3 linked regions of the Danio rerio genome follow. The protein of the gene in region 1 purifies or fractionates together with the protein of each later gene. This does not show direct contact. Links are inferred from orthologs where the notes say so. Each region holds a gene or a part of one and is shown on either strand. Other genes may lie near its edges.

Region 1 (4,231 bases):
AATAAAGCGGCCATTGAGTGTATACTAGCATACATTATTAAAAATATTTTATTTCAAAGTTTCAGCTACATTTTTAACATTTTGAAAGGTGAAAAAAAATAATTATGACACAATAATAGCATGTTTCTAAAATATATTCAGAAATATCCCAAATATATTTGTGTGAATAATGCTTTTGTTCATTGAGACTAATAGAGAAATACAGGTGTTTTAGTGAGATGTATTTACAATACAGTAATAAAACTCTTGTATAATTATGTTTAGGCGACACAGTGGCTCAGTGGTTTGCACTGTTGAGAAGGCTGCTTGTTCGTGTCCTGGCTGGGCCAGTTGGGATTTCTGTGTGAAGTTTGCATGTTCTCCCTATGTTGGCATGGGTTTTCTCCAGGTGCTCTGGTTTCCCCTCACAGTCCAAAGACATGCGCTCTCAGTAAATTGAATGAACTAAATCGGCCATAGTGCAGCTGGAAGAGCATCCACTGTGTAAAACATATGCTGGATAAGTTGGCGAAGTTCATTCCACTGTGGCGAGCCCTGATGAATAAAGGGACTAAGCCAAAGGAAAATGAACGAATGAATGAAAGAACTATTTTCAATTATTAAACATGCAAAGCAGTACAACTTTCTTTAGAGGTCATCACATGTTGCAAAGTTACCATAACATGCAGTGTAAAAAGATGATCAAAAGTCACGACAGCATTTTTTAAATGTTATATTAACATAATTAATCAGTCTTTTTTAGTTACCTATTTTAATATAATTTTAATTCATTAATATTTTTTGTTTCAAAGCAGCTTTACATTCAAAATCAGAAAAGTTAGGTTATTAGTTACCATAACTTTATTAGTTACTAATAATTTAAAATAATCATTCATTCATTTTCTTTCGGCTTAGTCTCTATTTTAGAGGTTGCCACAGCATAATGAACCGCCAACTATTCCAGCATATGTTTTATGCAGCGGATGCCCTTCCAGCTGCACTACGGCTAATTTAGTTTAACACTGAATTATTATATAATTAAGGTATTATATGTAAACATAGTTAACCTGCAGTTATATAGTATATAGGTGATATTGTTTGAACACAATCAGTCTTTAAGTATTTAAGCTAACTTAATATTGAGTTTTACGAATTTGAATGAATCATTTTAATTGATTCATAGTTAAATTACCTGTAAAGTTTATAAGATTTACACATTTACAGTATATTTTACAGTGTTGAAGATGCACAGATGACCCATTAAGATCAGCACCTCCACCCTTCACATCAGTCGCCACTACTGAGTGCATACTGCAGGGGCAGGGAGTGACGTCACGGCCAGCCTCCCTCTCTCTCTCCAACAGTCCCTTCCTGCTGCATCACAACAGTCGCTGGCGGATCGGGTAACACTGAGCTATTTCCACTGCCGCGTGGAGTTTTTTATTTCGATAAATGTAACAGAAGTCCTCATCGACTACAGCCTCCGCCGTCAAAGCCCGTCGCCCCCGTCAGTCCGAGCGGTCAGTCCGAGCGTTTGCAGTGGGAGATGGCCAGGCCAGAGCAGGTCCTGCTGCTGGAACCGCAGCACGAGCTCAGGTTCCGAGGTGAGTCCAGAAAGCCCCACACTGACGAGGACTTGCGGATAAAACGCCCTGGATGAAGAGGGAGGGTCAGCGGGTGTGTTTTTTTAGTGGTTGGGGGCTGAAGGAGGCGGCGAGATGGCGTTTCTGGCAGGCCTCGGTGCTTGGAGTAATCATAATAATATTATGGCGCAGCGGTGTGTTTCTCAATCGGTTTATTATTCAAACTCCGCTAAAATGACACCTAATGTGACACGATAAGGTGTTCGCTTTGTGGTTTGTTGTATAGACTGACAAGTGTGTTAGCTTGAGCTAGCTTGATTTAGGCCTTGACATACAGGCTCTGCTGGTGGGCTGGTTAATTCGGTTAGTGTGAAGCGGTTCAACCGGTGTTGCCATGTCCGCATGTAAAATGTCGCTAATCAGATGTGCTCACTATTTGCTTATTTACATAATACAATAGCGAAATGCGTGTTTATCCTACGTGTAGTGTGTGTGCATGTCATGATATATCTCTGTCATCATTGTGAGATGATTTCTCCATTTGAATGACCGCTGTGAGCGAGCTGTCAAAGGCAATTGCTAATCTTTTCCCTTATGCAGACGCTTGCAGGATAGAGTTGTTATTGTAAATATTGCAATAATGAAAATCTGGGTTGATGTGTTTCGGTTTCTTTTGGTGAAGCAATTGGTTATTATTATGTTTTAACTTCTTTTGTCAGAATAGCTAGCATGTAGAGAAATCTGGCAACACTGACAACCTACCTTTGACGCTGCTTCCAGTCAGGAAGTTATTAGCGTTAGTCTGAAGACACCTTTGTTATTATTCCACTTCAAAGTTCAGCATGACGTGGACATGTTGATACTAATGTCATAAACAAAGCTATTCTGGTGTTTTGGATAAAACATTGGTCTTTGGTCGACATTTAAAATTAAATCATTTTCCATTTACATATTTGTTTTTTTTTACAGGATTTCTAGGTTAATGTCATTTAGACTATCATTACATTACTATCACTAAACAGACTAATGCTAGTTTCACTTGTACACTTCATGCCCATGTCAATCAGCTGATCCATAAGACTCACAAAATAAGAATGACTTTCCAAGCTTTTAAATCGCCATATCATTGGCTACATTCCTCATCATTTCTGGGATACTTGTATTTGTCTTGTTCTTTTATAAACAAAAGCCTTTGTGGCATGATCCCCTCATAGAAGAAAGCCATAATTTTTAAAATGTCAATAGTATGTGTAGTTCTAAGTTTAGCAGAAGACTGACAAGGACATTAGCTTCAGCTAGTCTGTTTAGGCCTTGACACACCGCTCTATTGGTGGGTTGGTTAATTTGGTTATGAACTGAAGCAGTTCAACCAATGTTGCCATGCCCTTGATGTTGCATTTGTGTTTTGCTGTCACTTACAAAATGTGCTGTTGAGGGTTTTTTATGACACTGTGTAGCAACATTTTGTTTATCCCACATGCATGTCTTAATAGTTTTCTTTGTCATTATGTGACATTTACTTCTCTCTTTGATCCACTCTGAACATTTCTCCTCATGGTCAGATAATTACAAGATGTATTTCCTGCCATAAGCAGGAATAAACAACTTGAATGCTTGTTTGTGTGATGTATTTTGTTTATTTCTGGCTTAATTGTACAGAAGATGTTTAATATTTTTATGGAGAAATCTGGCCGCCTACCTTGATGCTGTTCCCAGTCAGGAAGACATCAAACACCTGTATTATTATCTAACTTCAAAGTTCATACGACTTTATAGATAATAATGTCATAGTTATGTTGGTGTTTGAAATAAGAATCTTTTAATCCAATGAGAATTCGCATATTTGACATTTCAAGGAACACATTCTTTTGGAAGCAAAGCCGTTGTGAGCCAAACCAGCTTGAAAACATGTTGTTTTTCATAAGAATTAACCTTACACTAGCTCGTGAAGTTCACAATCACAGCATAGACCCTTAACAATGATTTATTGACTGCATGCTGGTCTATTTATTGTACTAATGTCACCTTACCACTAAATATGATACTGCTTTACACTACCTGACAAAAGTAGCTTGTCACCTATCAAAGTTTTAGGAACAACAAATAATAACTTGACTTCTAGTTGATTATTTGGCATCCGAAGTGGCTTATATGAAGGGCAAAGGCCTCTAGATTACTCTTAATTTATTTTATTATTTATTTATTTATTACCAAAATAAAATATGATCATGCCTTAATTTTTAATTATTTCATTAGGACAGTAAGGTCTGACTTTGCTTAGACAAAAGTCTTGTCACTTAACATAAATAATGTACAGTATAGAATATAAAGTCATGGTGCAGTGGAAACAGAAGGAATATTTTGCATAACTCCCATGATCTTGGACAACTGCATCCATACATCTCTGCAATGACTCAAATAACTTAATAATAAAGTCATCTGGAATGGCCAAGAAAGCGTTTTTGCAGGACTCCCAGAGTTCATCAAGATTCTTTGGATTCATCTTCAATGCCTCCTCCTTCATCTTACCCTAGACATGCTCAATAAAGTTCATGTCTGGTGACTGGGCTGGCCAATCCTGGAGCACCTTAACCTTCCTTGCTTTCAGGAACTTGTGGAAGCTGAAGTATGAGCAGGAGTGGTGTCCTGCTGAAGAATTTGCCCTTTCC
Region 2 (3,706 bases), on another chromosome or scaffold:
ATATATAAAGATATTTTCTTTAAAAAAGCTGGAATCTCATGTACAGTACAAAACAATATTGCTGCTTCAGAGTATTTCAGACATGTGGACACATATTAGATAAGTGGAGCAAGGCCACACCACACACAACAAATTGATCTCCCATTGTAATATAAATTTAATAAAAAAGTGAGGAACATTTTTATTCTACAAAGCATGTTTTATGCGTGAATTAAACTGATTTGCTGATATGCTGCAACGGCCACTTTAAATACAAGATCAAATTAGCGAATTTTGACGCTCTTGCCAGCGGAGCTGTGAAGGCAGACAGCATTGTTGTCTTTGGTGTGAACGCACAGTAACAGTAAGATGGTGATTGCAAAAAAAGCAGTAAAGCCCATGGAAATGTCAGTTATGCATCTACATCTATATTTGTTTATTGTGTACAAAACAATAGTACTGTAGTTTCTTTGATATAATATGAAATATTTTTTATATATGTAAAATAATGTTCACGTTAACATAACAGTTCATTTTACTCATATCATATTGAAGGTTCCGTGAAGTGTTTTAAAACGTGCATTTTTGTTATTCGATTTTTGATGTAATCTCACCTGAGAAACGAAGATAAGGCAGGACATATAGTAGCCCCTCCCCTTAAAAAAACAGCCAATAGTGTTTTGCTTTTACCACAGCTCTGCCAGTGATAGTGGTGGGGCTCAAGCGCATCAAAAGAAAATCAAATTGAAAGCATCTTAAATAGGGTAGGGCGGGGCATGTCAGATACAAGAGAGCATTTGATTGGTCAAGATTTATATGAGGCGACAAAAAAATGCTGATCAATTTAGGCAGAGGTGACAAACTGCAAGCTTCGGATGTTTATATCAGTTTTATATTTTCCAAACACGAATTATGTCACCGTTTTGGAGCACACTAGCTTATAGATATCCTTAAAACCAACAGACTGATTTTAATTTCATGAGACCTTTAATCATGATATTTTGAAGGCAGCTGGAAACCTGTAACCATTAACTGCTATAATATTTGTTTTCCTATTATGGAAGTCAGGATGGAATGGAACAGATGTAGTCCTAATAACTTTCAGCATGGCGTGCATGTAAGAATGTATAAAATCTGTGTAGTAAATCTACCTTGCTGTCGAACAGACTGAGCGGCTTCAGTCGCAGACTGAAGGTCATGGCGGCATGCAGGAGAGTCGCCAACACACAGTGATGCTGAACGAGAGGATAGTGAACAGATCTCTGATCCAGAGCTAACTCTACTATGGACACCGGGCCGTCTGCAGCGCTCCACGCTTCCTCCACACACACATCTGGAGGAGGCACTTCCTCCACTGCTGAATCCGCCTGAGAGAGAAAAAGAGAGGAGCAGATTAAAATAGATCTAACTCTTTTACATCAACCCATTCACTGATCAGCGTCATTGAAAGTGCTACAATAACTTTAGCCATGCTTCTGCTCCATGCATCCATCATTTGATCTGTCCTTACTCTGGAGAAAAAAGGATAGGAAGGAAGAAAAGAGGAAGATGAGACCTCCATCAGAGCCTGCAGCAACTGCACACAGGAGCCCAGGAAACTCCTCACAGCCGCGTCCCCCATTCCTACATCCTAAAACATATGCACACACACATCAGGCACAGATGTTAATTCCAATGACACAGACCTGAACTGAAATCGTGCTTTGTGTCTTTTCTTACCCGTCTGCACAGCCGGTCTTTAGGTGCCTTTCCCACCTTGATCAACACACACACACAGTCAATTATTTCATAGAAGCTGAACAAAGAAAATGAACTGACATAAACACACCTTTTCAATTAGGAAGGCAGCAGCTGAAAACCGCTTGACAATGAAGGTCTGCCACATCATAGCTGAAACACCTGGAAGAATAGGAGGAAAAGGAGAGAGAGAGTTTTCACAAAAAATACTTTAGTTGTGATTATATGTGTTGTGGCAACTTCCGGTCCAAAAAAAAACGTGATTGACTTGTGAACTTTTTTCAGTCTCTTACCCAACTGAATGTGAGGATTGGAGATCATCTTCAAAAACTCCACTGACCATTCTAAGTACTGTCCCACCTGAACAGAGAGAAGAGTTCTCTGTGATTGGCTGACATTTATCCAGTATTACAGTTATGTTATTATTTACAGGATAAAAACTGCTGTTGTATTTTCTTGACTTTTTGAGTTAACATCCAAAAACATTTTTTAACAAAAAGAATATGATTAAGACCAGTGTTGGGCAATTATGCATTACTGTAATGACATTACTTTTGACAGTAACTAATACTGTAACGCATTACTTTTTAGATATAGTAACTCCATTAATGTCACAATATGATGTGTTTGTCCATTTCTTGGTAAATTAATGAATTTTGGCTGCAGTCTAGCCTACAGTCTAGCCGTGTATACATCAGCGATGCAATGTGGGATAGGAGGATGCCAACCAACCACAGTAAATACGTTGTGTATGAGGCGCCAGACTGGAAAAAGTCAAGCGAAAGCAGAGAGACCAAATGTACGTAAGGTACACCAAGTGTGCAGGCGAAAGAGATCAAGTGTACGTTCGAAATAGATCAAATTTTTGTTAAAAAATGCATAGATTATGGTTGTCTATAATAGCAGTTTTTTTTGGTGCTGAGTTTCACCACATTGATTCAAAATAGATAGTTCATATAACTTTCATGTATTTATTTTTTTGTGTTTGTTGTATATTGTCGCTATTTTTATACTCAAGCTGTGAAGGAACATGATTAAGGGTGAAATACAACTTTTGCTGAAGCAACTTTAGTTTTTTCTTTTTTTTGTCTTTGAATATATTATTTAGCTGGTTTATCACTTTAAACTTAAATCTGACTTAAATAAAAAGTCATTTTTAATCACTCATTTATTTAAATTTGTTTTGTGTTTTAGTTGTGAGAATGCAAATTAATTACAACTGTGAAGTTGATCAACGGTGTATTTTCCATGCAGCACTGAAGAGATGTTATAAGTAGGCCCACACGGAATCTGCGTGTGAGGAATTCCGCAGAATTTTAGCCCATCATTGGTTCTGTTTATTTACTTGTGTAAACGTGTGTATATTTTTATTTATTCAGCTTTTACCAATAATAATGTGCTATAATAATTTTAATATTAAAATGTTTGCTTGATGTATTTACAATAAAGTTTGTAAAGTAATATTTTCAGTCTTTTAGTAGATATATTTTATGAGAGACTTGCTTTGTTTACCAAATAAAGTGGATCTAATTGGATTTGCATTGTAAACATTAAATATAAGTTAAAAAGGTATTACTTTTTATTTAATATATTAAGGTTTTATTTATGATACTCCCAAAATCAATCTGCATAAATTCACAGATTTTTAAAAAAATTCTGCACAGAAATTGCAAAAATTATCTGTATATTCCATCTGGCCCTAGTTATAAGGGCATTAATGGGAGCATTACGAATGTTCTTTGGAAAAGTAACTTAAAAGTTACTTTTAACGGTAATGCATTACTTTTCGGTGTAAGTAACCGATAAAGTAGTTGAGTTACTTTTTGAATAAAGTAACTGTAACTAGTACAATTTTTCAGTAACTAGCACAACACTGATTAAGTTTGATTAGGTTAAGTTTACACTGATTTGTATAATAATTCAAATTTCATTTATTTTCTGCAAAGATATTTAACATTCATTTTACATAATGTTCATACAAATTACAACA
Region 3 (3,706 bases), on another chromosome or scaffold:
CTTTGGCTCTAAAGATGAAAAATAGTTCATTCACTTCGCATGTGCACTCAGAAGTCTATTAGCTGAGACACAGTCTTCACATGCTAGCTACTGTTTGTACCTGAGTCCTGAACAATGGATTTTGGAAGAGGAACAGGATGAAACACAGTAGGAAATATAGCTCCTGGCAGCTGATTATCCACCTGGAACAAATAAATGGTGCACATAATAACTGAACGGCGGCCAAAAGCAACGGAAGTGTGACATTCAACAAGTACTGTAAGAAGTGTGTATGCGTTACCTGTAGCCAATAGAGCTGTGCACGTAGACTCCTCTGATGAGGTGACTGCTTCAGCTCAACATGAATGCCAGGCAGGAAGTTTCTCCTTATCTGGCAGGAAAACGGCTGTCTCATTAACATGGGCACTCTTCCAAAGTTCACCTGTTTTAACGAAGACGAAAAAGAATACCATGAAATCCAAGCATCATAAAATGTCTAATGACATTTTTGTTATAACTATTATTCAAATATACACTCAGAAATTCATCCTATGTAAATCCTTTTAACATTGGTAACTGCATTTTTAAAAAAATGCAATCTTACAAAGGGTTATTTTTCACCTATTAGGTCATGTTTTATATACAAAATAATTTTAAAAGTTCATTTTGACGAAAAAAAATAATAATTTGAAAGGTCTGACATGGAAGATTTAGTATTTGCTAGGCCTGTCAAGATATCTTTTTGTTTTGCACAATATATTACATCAAAATATAATGCAATAAATGATATTATTATAATTTTAAGACCATTTTATGGCACTCATTATTTAATGCCAGAATGACAACATTGTAGCATTACAATGCAAGTACACTCTTCCAAAGAACACAAAAAATGTTATTCTTAAGAATATTTAATTTTATTATAGTAATTTTAACAATTTAACAACTCTGCATTGGAATCAGAATGTAAAAACTCATATCCTAAATAAATAATAATAAATGTTTTCAAAAAAATTGCAAGGTAAAAAGTAACTGAGGCACAACCAACTAGAATTTGCTAGAATTGGTTTTTAGATATAGGCGATATATATTAAATCACCAAAAATTAATAAGGTCATGTTCATGTGTTGTGCGATATATTGAATATTGTGACAGACCTAGTATCGGGTGACTTTTGTGACGGTAGTAATATTAATTTTATCATTATTATTACAATTATTAATGAAATGTTAAAATCACCTGTTGGGATTCCAAATTCAGAAATAGATGTATTTTAGTAATTTTAAAGCCCAGTGTATTTAAAAATATATATTTATAGATAAAATAAAAGATTAAATATTGGAAAACGTAATATGTTACTACCCTTGGTTTACATTAAACATTGAATATTTTACACTAAAAGACCAACCTTGAATTATAACTATTTAAAAGAATAGTTCACTCAAAAGTAAACATTTGCTTTTAATTTACTTGCATTTTTAAACAGGAATCTTGCATGGCAGACTGTGAAGAACATGCTTAGGACTGTTTGCAGAGGCTATGGATTGCATGTAATGTAATGCGTTGAATACTTTCTTGTTTCTTGCACAATATTGTTTCTTTTTATAAGACCTCAATTTAACTTAACCTTTATCTTCACATTTAGTCATTTGGCAGACACTTTTATTCAAAGCAAATTACAATGAGAATGACATCAAACGACTGATCATAAAAAGACAGTACTCACATCATGTGCTACTAGTGCAAAGCTTCTGATTTACTTAAAAAATATATAAGTTAGGTGATAGGAGCAGTTGAGGAAAAAGAGAAGTTTATATATAGTACAGCATATATACAGTAGTTCTGTAAATGTTTAAATATTTTACTGACACTCAATTTGCAGGTAGCCTTTGATTCTATTTTATGAATGACCAGTCTCAGATTTATGTTTAATTTAAGAAAGAAACCTACATATCCCTTTCAATTTGGATTTTCATGTCAGTGTTAAATAATTGTGACATTTTACATGTTCAAACTTTTTGTGGTGAAGTATTTAATTACCTCTATGCCAGTTTCAAGCATAGTCCAGCCTGGATCACTCTTGTTGATGTGGTTCTGGTAGGCTTTCTCTAGCAGTCCAATGTTCTTGTGATTAAAGGACTTCCAGCGGTTCTTCGGTCTCATTTCCCAAACCACACCAGAACTTTAAAAGGGGATTCAATCATCACGTCACCAACTATACAATCATGTGGCATTTATGCTCCCTCTTTAACGGTTTAGTAATTATTATAAATTAATAGTCACACTGGTTGTTGCTGGGTGTGGATTATTTACCTGGTAATGCCAACATATGCAATTTCCTGCCTGATGTCATTGTTGATGAGTGACAGGCCCAGGTTCTGTAATGAGACGTTGACTTCCTGCTGGAACTGCTCCAGCTCCTCTGCTTGCCGTGCTTTTGTGACTATGCCAACATCCTCAGTGAAGATCAGCACCCGCTGCCGGCCATCCAGGAAAGACACCCAGTGAATCTGAACCAAGCTGCTGTAAGCAAACTGCCCGCACTCATCCTAAAATAAAAGAGCATGAGAGGAAGTGATGAGCATGGCTGTAAGAGGGTCAGTAGATTCACTAACGCTCAATCTTTTTCTAACCTTGACAAGGTCCAGTTCTCCAATGTGGTCTTGACAGCTCCAACAAAGCTTCCTCACCCCTGCTGGATCATCCCATGCAAAGCGCTGAGCTTCACCTGGCCTCAGAGCCCAACACTCCTCACAACCTCTGCACAAGCACACAGATACACATTCACACACTCAGAAACACTCAATAAGAGTATGATCATACATTCACTGACACCAGATACTTTGATCCTACAGTTTGACATACTGTATGTGAATGTTTCAAAATAAATGCTATGCCATCGGGTAGTTAAAAGAACTCAGTTATAGGAACTAGCCGCTGTGGTTGTCCCAGGACCGTATTCCTGGTTGTATTTGCAATACCAGAGTTTTTTTTTTATACCATAGAAAAAAATGATGTAAACTGCCTGACAGTGACATTGATTAAGCGTGATATTCAACAACATGAAGGGGTCAGAGTTGGGTCTTTAATTGAGTCATTATTTTGTTGTACGTCATGGATTTTGTGATAAGAGACAAGGAATGCAGACATCACAACTTGAACAACTTGAAGGGCTAAATATCATGGAGACTGAGACAAGAATACAACCCTGCAGAGACTGGCAACAGTTTATGACATTAACGCTTAATTGATGTTAATGCTTATGCATTGTACTAATAAATTCTGTGCTGCAAAAGTCCTGAATGGCATGCACTCGCCCTATCATTCCCCATTTACATCACTGGTAATTCTAACTGTGCTGGGTCAAGCCCTATTCTGGAATATATATCAATTTATATACAGTGCTCACATATAAGTATACCCATTACAAATCTCTCTTTTAAATTAATATTTTTAATAGGAAGCTATGCAATATTATATTTGTGCATGTACATTAGATTAGTCAGTACTGAAGCCAAAACTAGAGCTTATCTAACAATATTATTTAAGATAATGGTAAAAAAAAATAGTAAACCCACATTTATATGTTATAGAAAAATATTAAATACAATTTTTAAAAATCAAGAGAAGCAGAAAAATATGAAAAATTGTTGAAATTTTGTTGGTTGTAATTATGTTTCAATATTTTGCTTAAATTTAATTGTGTTATCTTTCAATTTAAATATTT

Evidence for each region. Proteins that work in one complex are often made in the same cells at the same time.
Region 2: the proteins of vapb (region 1) and rab3gap2 purify together in Homo sapiens (affinity purification with mass spectrometry; 4 studies listed by BioGRID and IntAct, counting the BioPlex papers as one, with this or other methods). This does not show direct contact. The link is inferred for Danio rerio from reciprocal best matches to the Homo sapiens genes VAPB and RAB3GAP2.
Region 3: the proteins of vapb (region 1) and vps13c purify together in Homo sapiens (co-immunoprecipitation; 3 studies listed by BioGRID and IntAct, counting the BioPlex papers as one, with this or other methods). This does not show direct contact. The link is inferred for Danio rerio from reciprocal best matches to the Homo sapiens genes VAPB and VPS13C.

Annotation. Positions count from the first base shown.
Region 1 is NC_133181.1:52,216,195-52,220,425, forward strand, and holds the start of vapb (vesicle-associated membrane protein-associated protein B/C), read left to right. Parts: upstream 1-1,268; 5' UTR 1,269-1,525; coding exon 1,526-1,583; intron 1,584-4,231. UniProt on the Homo sapiens protein: Endoplasmic reticulum (ER)-anchored protein that mediates the formation of contact sites between the ER and endosomes via interaction with FFAT motif-containing proteins such as STARD3 or WDR44.
Region 2 is NC_133192.1:27,009,473-27,013,178, forward strand, and holds part of rab3gap2 (rab3 GTPase-activating protein non-catalytic subunit), read right to left. Parts: intron 2,077-3,706; coding exon 2,010-2,076; intron 1,879-2,009; coding exon 1,808-1,878; intron 1,735-1,807; coding exon 1,699-1,734; intron 1,610-1,698; coding exon 1,490-1,609; intron 1,347-1,489; coding exon 1,131-1,346; intron 1-1,130. UniProt on the Homo sapiens protein: Regulatory subunit of the Rab3 GTPase-activating (Rab3GAP) complex composed of RAB3GAP1 and RAB3GAP2, which has GTPase-activating protein (GAP) activity towards various Rab3 subfamily members (RAB3A, RAB3B, RAB3C and RAB3D), RAB5A and RAB43, and guanine nucleotide exchange factor (GEF) activity towards RAB18.
Region 3 is NC_133182.1:29,675,167-29,678,872, forward strand, and holds part of vps13c (intermembrane lipid transfer protein VPS13C), read right to left. Parts: intron 2,740-3,706; coding exon 2,613-2,739; intron 2,529-2,612; coding exon 2,293-2,528; intron 2,162-2,292; coding exon 2,020-2,161; intron 422-2,019; coding exon 281-421; intron 183-280; coding exon 101-182; intron 9-100; coding exon 1-8. UniProt on the Homo sapiens protein: Mediates the transfer of lipids between membranes at organelle contact sites. Necessary for proper mitochondrial function and maintenance of mitochondrial transmembrane potential.